Callithrix jacchus: one gene and its partner. The protein of the gene in region 2 interacts with the protein of the main gene of each other region in a biochemical or structural test. Links are inferred from orthologs where the notes say so. Each region holds a gene or a part of one and is shown on either strand. Other genes may lie near its edges.

Region 1 (4,287 bases), about 69 Mb from region 2:
ACCCCATCCTAGTTCCAACACCACAACTCCCGGCTCCACCTTACTGTGAGTGCTGAGAGCTTCACTGCCTTGTCCCACCACCAGGTTGCATTCCATGTCAGTCATTAAGTCTTACCCTTTGGGGGGGATCTCAGCTATAACGAAAATTAATTAAAGCTGAGGACCCTGTCTTTAGAAAGATGTACAAACAGCCAAGTCTAGTGTTCCCAGATCCTTGTCACTGATGTCAGCCAAATGAAACCTTGGACACTGTGATTTGGACTGCTGGTGCCATCCTCCTCTCTCCCACAGAATGCCTTGGAACTGGGTGGGTCCCCCTAAATCCAGTATGCAGCTTGGTCCTTCTCTCTGTTGGCCAAGGCTGGACAGCTTATGTCAGCCACCACTCTGGTTCACTGTCCCTTTCCTGAACAGCTCACAGCCCACTGTGATAGACAGACCCCTGCCACTAGTATCTCCTCGCTCCAATCCATCCCTCCCATCTCTCCTCTCCCCAGAGCGGATACCTGATGAGTGGCATGTGAAGAAGGGCTTCAGTCTGTTCTCCATGTTGCTCAGCTTCTGCTCCAAGGCCCTCCTCTGCTCCTCCTCACTTCGCAAGGTCTCCTTCGTCTTCTCTTTGTCTGCCTGGCAGGCCTGGAGCTGCCCTTGGGCCTCCTGATGGGCCCTCTGTTCTTCCTGTAGTGCTTCCTGACTCTGTACCAGATCTCTCCTGGACCCCTGCAGATCCTCTGCCCTCTGTTCCAGCTGAGTTATCTTAAGGTGGAGCTGCTGCCTCAGGCTGCTGTTAGTGGCTTCCAGAACCCTGTTCATCTGCTGGAGCTGCTGAGACACCTGCAGATCTGTTTGGCCACAGAGATTTGGAGGACGTCTTCTCCAGCCCTGCCCTAGTGCCCTGAGACTGCAGCATCAGCCCTTTTTCTGCTTCTTGCAACTTTTTACATTACAGGCTGAAATACGAGATTTGACTGCCTAAAACTTAAGGAGGTACTGGAGTAGGTGAGGACGATTCAGGAAGACAACAGACCTGGCTGGAAACCAAACTTAAAGCTAAGCATGTGGTGGTAGTGATGATGAGCCCTGGTTTGGGGGTCAGCTTTGGTTTGTGGGTCAGCTTTGGGGAGGGAGTCGGGATGAAAGTCCTTCGGTGTAAGTGGGAAGTGGGGACGGTGTGGGGACAGCCTTACTCACAGCGCACTCCCAGGCAGATGGCAGCCACTCCTAACAGCAGGCAGGTGAGGAGCAGGCCAAGCAGGAGGTATGGCAGGCAGGCTGTGCGGCCTTAGGGGGACAGTGGGATGGATGCGGGCAGTCAGCCCCGGGAAAGAAAGTAGAGACTAGTGGATGGGTGCGTAGGGGAGATTCCTGGGGAAGGCATCCCTAGAGGAGGGCGGTGCAGAGCTGAGGGGGCAAGCATGGTGGTTTCTGTTGGGTAGCAGGGAGTTTCGCATGTAGGGGAGAAGGTGTTGCAGAATCAGAGCTGGTAAGGATTCGGGGACATTACCTGGGAGAAGGGGAAGGAAATATCAGATGGAGAGAGGGAGAGAGGAGAAGGGTGGGGAGGTAGGTGAATTGGGACCATCCAAGGGGGCGGCGGTGCACGTCGGATTCTGGCGCACTGGGATGGAGGTAAATGGCGCAAGGCAGCCAGGGAGGGGTTCAGCCAGGGCGGGGTTCTGCTGGGGCGCAGTTCTGCCCTGGAAGGGTTCAACCCGGCAAGAGCTGCACCCCGCGGGGCCCAGAGCCATCCATAGTCCCCGAGGCCGCCCAGCACACACACTCACAGGGGAGAATCCGCCCGACCGCCAATGACGTCACGGCACTCCAGGAAGCTGTTGGCTGCTCGGACTTGACCGCTGTCGAGGGGAGCATCCAGTGTGAGACAGGACGCCTCGAGTATTGCTCCTTTTCCTCCTGCGCACCCGCTTTTCGTCCTCGCCACTGGGAAACTCCAGCCCGCTAGAGTTGCTCTGGGACACTCCGTCACTCTCCTGAGTTCCTGGTCTGCCCGGGGCTCTCTCGGCTCCCTCCTGGGTTTCACAGTCCCGGGACTCCCTCATCTCTCCTAGTTCTCCCTTTATTGTTTCCTCAGTGGCCCCTTATTTTCAGCTCCAATCCCTCTCCCCCATTGCTCTCATACCTCTCCCATTCCCTCTTTTCCCTCCCATGGCTCCCCATTTCCCATTAGAACTCATCCCTCCCCAGGGCTGCCCTGGGGTCTCCACCTTGCTGAAGGAATCTTTCTTCCTCTCCTGGCTCCCATTTATCCTGTTCCTATTCTTCTCTTTCCTACCAACCGGCCTCCTCCTTTCCCCCAGGGTATTGAGCTCTCAAGAATACTATGGACCTGCAATCCCAACACTTTGGGAGGCTAGGGCAGAGGATCAATTGAGCCCAGGATATCGAGGCCGCAGTGAGCCATGATCACACCACTGTACTCCAGCCTGAGTGACAGAGCAAGACCCTGTCTCAACAACAACATTGTGGACTCCCCAACTCAAGACACAGCCCCTCAACAAACACATCCCCTGCAACAAACATACATCCCCCAGGATCTCCAGACCTGCTTTGTCCCCTAGTCCAGAAGAAGCCAAGCTCAAGGGCACCCCTGGGACTGAGGGCACTTGAACATTCTCATAGGTGAGTTCCCCATCCTCATCAGCCCCTGGTTCTGGAGACAAGAGAATAGAGACCAATGATGTGGGAGTCAGGAATGGGGTCTGTGGGGCAGGGAGTGGGGATGCAGGATCAAGGGGAGCCCTCATCCCCCTTACCCTGTCCTAACCGGCTGGAGTTGCTCTTCTTCAGGGGAGCCTTCACGAACCTCAGATCCGCATAGGTGATGGCCTCAGCCATGGTCCCGAGCAGCTCTGCCCCCACCCGTCTTCCCTGTCATCCACCGTCCTCCCTTGCCCCTCTCCTCTCTGTCCCTTTACACCTAGGCTTTGTGTTACCTCTGTGACTGTACCGCTAAGCAGTTAGCCCTATGATTTCCAGTCACAAAAGAGGAAGATGTGAGCAAGTCTCAAACAGATGGGCTCAATGAAGCAGAAGGAATCCCTGGGCCAGGGCCAGAGGGGCCACAGAGGGGACACTGAGGTCCAAAGCACATGGGTAGGGGCTGGGCCTGTCCCCATGTCCTGCCTGTGCTGCTTCTCCATGCATCTTAGACCCATGTGGGCCATGCTGGGCCCCAAAACTGGTCCTCCTGGTTATCTGCCCTTTTCTGCCCCACCCTCCTCCCGGCTGCCTTGTCCACTGGGGCTTATGATGTGTAACTGGAGCTGCACTGATCCAGATGATCTCCCCAGCTCCAGGGTGAGGCTCCATTCTCCCCATCAGACTGGGGGCTCCTGGTTTGCATCTGTCACTCATCATCCTGGGGTTTCTAGTAACTGTGGGTTTAGGAACAGGCCAAGGCGAGGAACAGCCACGACTGCAGCACCTCTGGAAAGGTGTGTGGCAGCACTTCCCCCCAGGCACCCTCATGGGGAGCCAGGGAGCAGGTGAGCAAGGGAGTTGCAGAGGGTTTAAGAAGGGCTGCAGCTTCCTAGGCAAAGGCAAGGCAGAGGAGCAGAGCAGAGCCAGAGGCCGAGCGCAGACTCTGGACCAGCAGAGGTTTTGACATTTTCTTGGTTTGGTTTTGGTTTTCCTCCTACTTTCCTAGTAAAGTTCTTCCTTTAAAAAGTCCCAACACTGTCCCTGAGGAAAAAAGGGGCATTTGAGGCAGAGGACCCAGGGACTGAGAGGCCCTCATAGGTGATAGGGGCCTAGCTGATGGAGGAGAGAGGGAACCAGAGAAGGGGAGAAGAGGCTGCTGAACAGGGGTGTCCAAAGGTACTCCCTAATGTTCTTTTACCAGGATGTGACCCCTAATAAGAACCCCAAAACAGCCTACATCAGGGATAGGAACTGGAACAAGACATAGTGTGGGGGTGGGAAGAACTCGCCCAAGCAGTGTGGCATCCGCTCCGAAGAACCCCCTCCTGCAGCTGTGGGGAGGAAAAAGGAAGGGGGTAAAGGTCCTCATTGCATGCCAACAGCTCGGATGATTGGTGGTGTGTGGTGAGACGCTGCCAGGGACCCTAGAGTTCTGCCAATAGCTCCGCCCAGCCAGCCCTAGAGGAAGTGGCCACTGAGACGAGGCTGTCACCTCAAAAATGTATCTGTAGCCTGGGCGCGGTGGCTCATGCCTGTAACACAAGCACTTTGGTGGCTCATGCCTCGTGATCCAGAGGTGGGCAGATCAAGAGGTCAGGAGTTCAAGACTAGCTTGGCCAACATGGT
Region 2 (3,806 bases):
GAACCCCTGCTTCTCTGATGTCCTGATGGTCATCACTATATGAGAAAGGGCCACGCAGGAACCATATAACAATTTCCACGAGGGATGAACAGCTACCTGCTCCGAGCTGAGCACCTGGCCAGGGACACGGCAGCTGGCTCTCGTGGTTTCCCATGGCTCCTCTGAGGCCTGACAATCCACCTCCCAGAAACCGCCACTGAGCAGCCTTGAGATTTCCTACAGTCAAGCCCACAGGCTGTTCTCTTGTGCTGAGCACTGCGCCTTCAGTGTGTCACTTTAAAGGCACCCTCCCTCCCCCAGTATGTACCTAAAGCTTTGTGTTTTGGCAGTCTTGGTTCTCTCTTCTTAATCTTAAGCTGTCAGTTAATGTTTCACTCTTAGGTAGATTAAGAGGCAAATGGTGAAATTCCAACAGACTCTGGTGAATATATTCCACAAAGTCTTGCTTTTTATACACTGGGGAGGCTTGAGGAGGTTGCATCAAAAAACAGAACCTCCTGAGAACAGGAGGCCAGCATTCCTCCAGTCCCCACAACCCCCAGAAATAAGGCCTATTGAGAGGGGCATCTGAGGCCCAAGGGAATAAAGTGCTAGGAAAAGTGACATTTCAGATAAAGATCAGAGCACTCATCATCCAGGCACACTATTGCCAAGGCAGGGGCCAAGCAAAGCCAGACTGCCTGGCACTCACCTTGCACACTCTTGCTATCCGTGGGATCTGCAGCCTGAACACAAACTCGTACTCCACAGACACCTCTGTGAAGAAGAAGTAGACCCTGTCATCCCCGCCGTTGGGGCTGTCTGGGCTTTTTCGGATCACGTCAGCAAACACAAAGTTAGGCTCTGCAGAGAGAGGTCAGCCGTTATCCCGGAACACAGAGCTGGGGCACTGCCTGCACCCACAAGGTCACCAGGCTGGCCTGCACTGCCTTCGGGGGCCTGAGGGCTTCCCTGCAAGGATATCTGGAGTGTGCACATGCCATAACCCAAGCAGAAATCCCAGGGTCCAGGAATGATGATAGCACAGAGTCCAAAGGGTGCCCTACCCCCACCTCCTTGGCCTCAGAGAGATGCCCTCAATAGTGGTTCTGGGGAGCACATCCTACCCAGGTCCACCTGAAGAAGTGAGGCTGGGCCTTCTGATTACAAGGCAGGGAACCAGATGGTATCAGTATCACAGACCTACATAAGGTATGCATTTGCAGGTTGAAATAACACATGCTTCAAATAAACAAACTCTAACCACCAGATCCTGCCCCACCCTGAGGAATAGCCAGCTGTCCCTGAATCTTGGGTCTTGGGATCTGCCCTGAGGTCAACAGGTTCAAAATCCAGGGCTCTGCAGGCTGGCACACAGAAGAAAAGACCCCATGAACAGCCACCAGCTTCTTCCTGCACATTTAAGATGGAAATCAGACACGTGCTGCTGGCAGCAACAAGGCACCCAGAGCCCATCCAACCGGGTGCTAGAGGCTGGCCTGGAGGCAGGGCCCACACCAGTGTTCATGCCACACTTTAATATCACTCTGGAAATTACACCATGTCCCCATTCGATTAGTCTGAGTTTACCATTTACTATCAGATTCTCACTTTTATGAGAGTCTCCCAAATCCATTTTTGGGGGTTAGCGGGGAGCCGTCTTAAGACAGTACACTGTTAGCAGAGAAAACAGCAAACAAGGCACCCTGGGACTCTGGCCATTGCTGAGCAATTCGGGAAATGTCCCCCCCAACCCCCGCAAACAGGGGCTGACACAAGCTCAGGGGCCCTCAGGGCTCAGAGACAGCAAAAGGAGAGATCAATGGGTGCATGCTCACGAGGAGACCACACCTCCCGCTGAGGTGCACTGCTCCTCCTTACCGTTCAGCCAAGGGATTGCATATTCCGTCCTCAGAGGACTAGAGGAAGAATTTCGGGAGATGATGGGTTCACTTCCCAAAAAATTATACGATGTCCCCGAATAAAGTTCTCCATCTGCAGGGGACCAGGAGAAAAGAGGAAAAGGGAACCAACCTCTCAGGCTGTGGCACCAACACTGGGACAGACATTCAACACAGTGGTTCCCTTTATAAACCAATTAAGCCCCCACCCTCACCCCGGGGAAAGGGAAAGACAGTCTCCTCAACTTCTGGGGTATCCTGTGTCTTCTAGTTCTTTCTTTTCCGAGATGAGGTTTCTTGTTTTGATACAGGGTCGCACTCTGTTGCCCAGGCTGGAGTGCAGTGGTGCGATCTCGGTTCACTGCAACCTCCACCTCCCAGTTCAAGTCATTCTAATGCCTCAGCCTCTAGAATACCTGGCACTACAGGCACAGGCCACCATGCCCAGCTAATTTTTGTATTTTTTGGTAGAGACAGGGTTTCATCCTGCTGGCCAGGTGGTCTCAAAACTCCTGACCTCCAGTGATTCAGGTGTGAGCCACAGTGCCTGGCTTGAGGTGAATTCTTGCTGTTTCCCAGACTTGTCTCAAACTCCTATCCTCCCACCTGAGCCTCCCAAGTAGCTAGGACCACAGGCATGCTCTCACTTTGATGAGGATAATTTTATGCTCCACGTTCAGCTGCATTTTAAGAGCTGTGGGGCAATAAGTAAACACAAGCAAGTAACTCCCACATCCAGGAAAATGTTGGCAGATGCAACAGTTGGTGCACACGAGGCTAAGGCCACTTGCTCAGGGGTGCAAGACCACAGACAGCATGTGGCTTGGTCAAAACCTCCCTCTCAAACAGGAGCATCTGCTCACCATGCTAGCATTATCCAAATGACATGAGCCAGCGATGGATACAAAGTGACATTTACCATGGCAGCTATTATCTTTGTGAACAATGAATTCAAAATTAGTGTCTGAGCAGATACGTGTGTCTTTTGTAAGGATAGCTTGTATTTAAACAAAGCCAAGGAAGACAGGACTTCACAGAAGATCCGAATATCCTGTTTGGTAATTAACATGCCACTGTAATCTTTGGGTGAAGGAATTGGAGGGGCAGGACTCACCAACTATGACGGATGTGTAGCTGTGTGCTGGGTCAAAGGGACATCTTCCTTTGCCATCTTCATTTCTCCCCAGAAATTTAAAGGATGTTAAACTCTACAATTGAATAAAAAGAGAATACCTCATCAAATGGCTGAATTTCTGTGGTAATAATGTGTCTCTGTACCATTTAATTTTACAAATTTGCTATTCTCGGAAGACCAACAGGGCCACAGATGGGTGTGGCGCCACGGGAGTCCCGCCCACCAGAGCCAGGCTGTGTGTTGCTCAGCTTGGGTCTGGACATGAGCACCTTGGTGCCCTTGCTTCAATGCCCTGGCCAAGATTCCCAAGATCTCAGACCCTCAGGATACTCATCTGCAAATGGAAATGGCAACGCTGATGGCTCTAGGGCTGGAAAGTCGCCAGGACAAACCAAATACAGAACACTCAGTATGTGAGTGGAAGCCCTGGTGCGGAATTTTAACATCAATAAAGATGGCATTCTAAGAAGCTAGATTACCCGATAAATAGGAAATCAAAAAATGTAAACAGGCAGAATCCCTACCGCGCTCCACTCACTAAAATATATACCAGATGAAGCAACAATCTGATTACTAAAAACGGAACAGCAATACACTAAAATGAAGCAGGGGCTGGCATTTCCATCTAGGGGTCATCTCTTTACCTGGCCAGAGCACCCACAGCCACACGAGGAAAACATGCACAGAGCCAACCACAGAGAGAATTGGAAAGCTCCACGCAAGGAAGTAACACAGCAAGGGGGAAAAATGCCCACAGAATGGCAGATGAGGTGTCTCTATCCCTGAACATG

What was found.
Region 1: the proteins of SEMA4D (region 2) and CD72 form a complex in vitro, tested with the Homo sapiens proteins (2 studies listed by BioGRID and IntAct). The link is inferred for Callithrix jacchus from reciprocal best matches to the Homo sapiens genes SEMA4D and CD72.

The regions. Positions count from the first base shown.
Region 1 is NC_133502.1:142,530,914-142,535,200, forward strand, and holds the start of CD72 (B-cell differentiation antigen CD72), read right to left. Parts: upstream 2,967-4,287; 5' UTR 2,857-2,966; coding exon of another isoform or gene 2,775-2,856; 5' UTR 2,766-2,774; coding exon 2,564-2,765; intron 1,857-2,563; coding exon 1,785-1,856; intron 1,282-1,784; coding exon 1,192-1,281; intron 843-1,191; coding exon 507-842; intron 1-506. UniProt on the Homo sapiens protein: Co-receptor of B cell receptor (BCR) that plays both positive and negative roles on B-cell functions. Recognizes the Sm/ribonucleoprotein (RNP) self-antigen ligand, and coligation of CD72 and BCR inhibits BCR signaling.
Region 2 is NC_133502.1:73,234,581-73,238,386, forward strand, and holds part of SEMA4D (semaphorin-4D), read right to left. Parts: intron 3,089-3,806; coding exon 2,995-3,088; intron 1,975-2,994; coding exon 1,861-1,974; intron 844-1,860; coding exon 692-843; intron 1-691. UniProt on the Homo sapiens protein: Cell surface receptor for PLXNB1 and PLXNB2 that plays an important role in cell-cell signaling. Regulates GABAergic synapse development. Promotes the development of inhibitory synapses in a PLXNB1-dependent manner.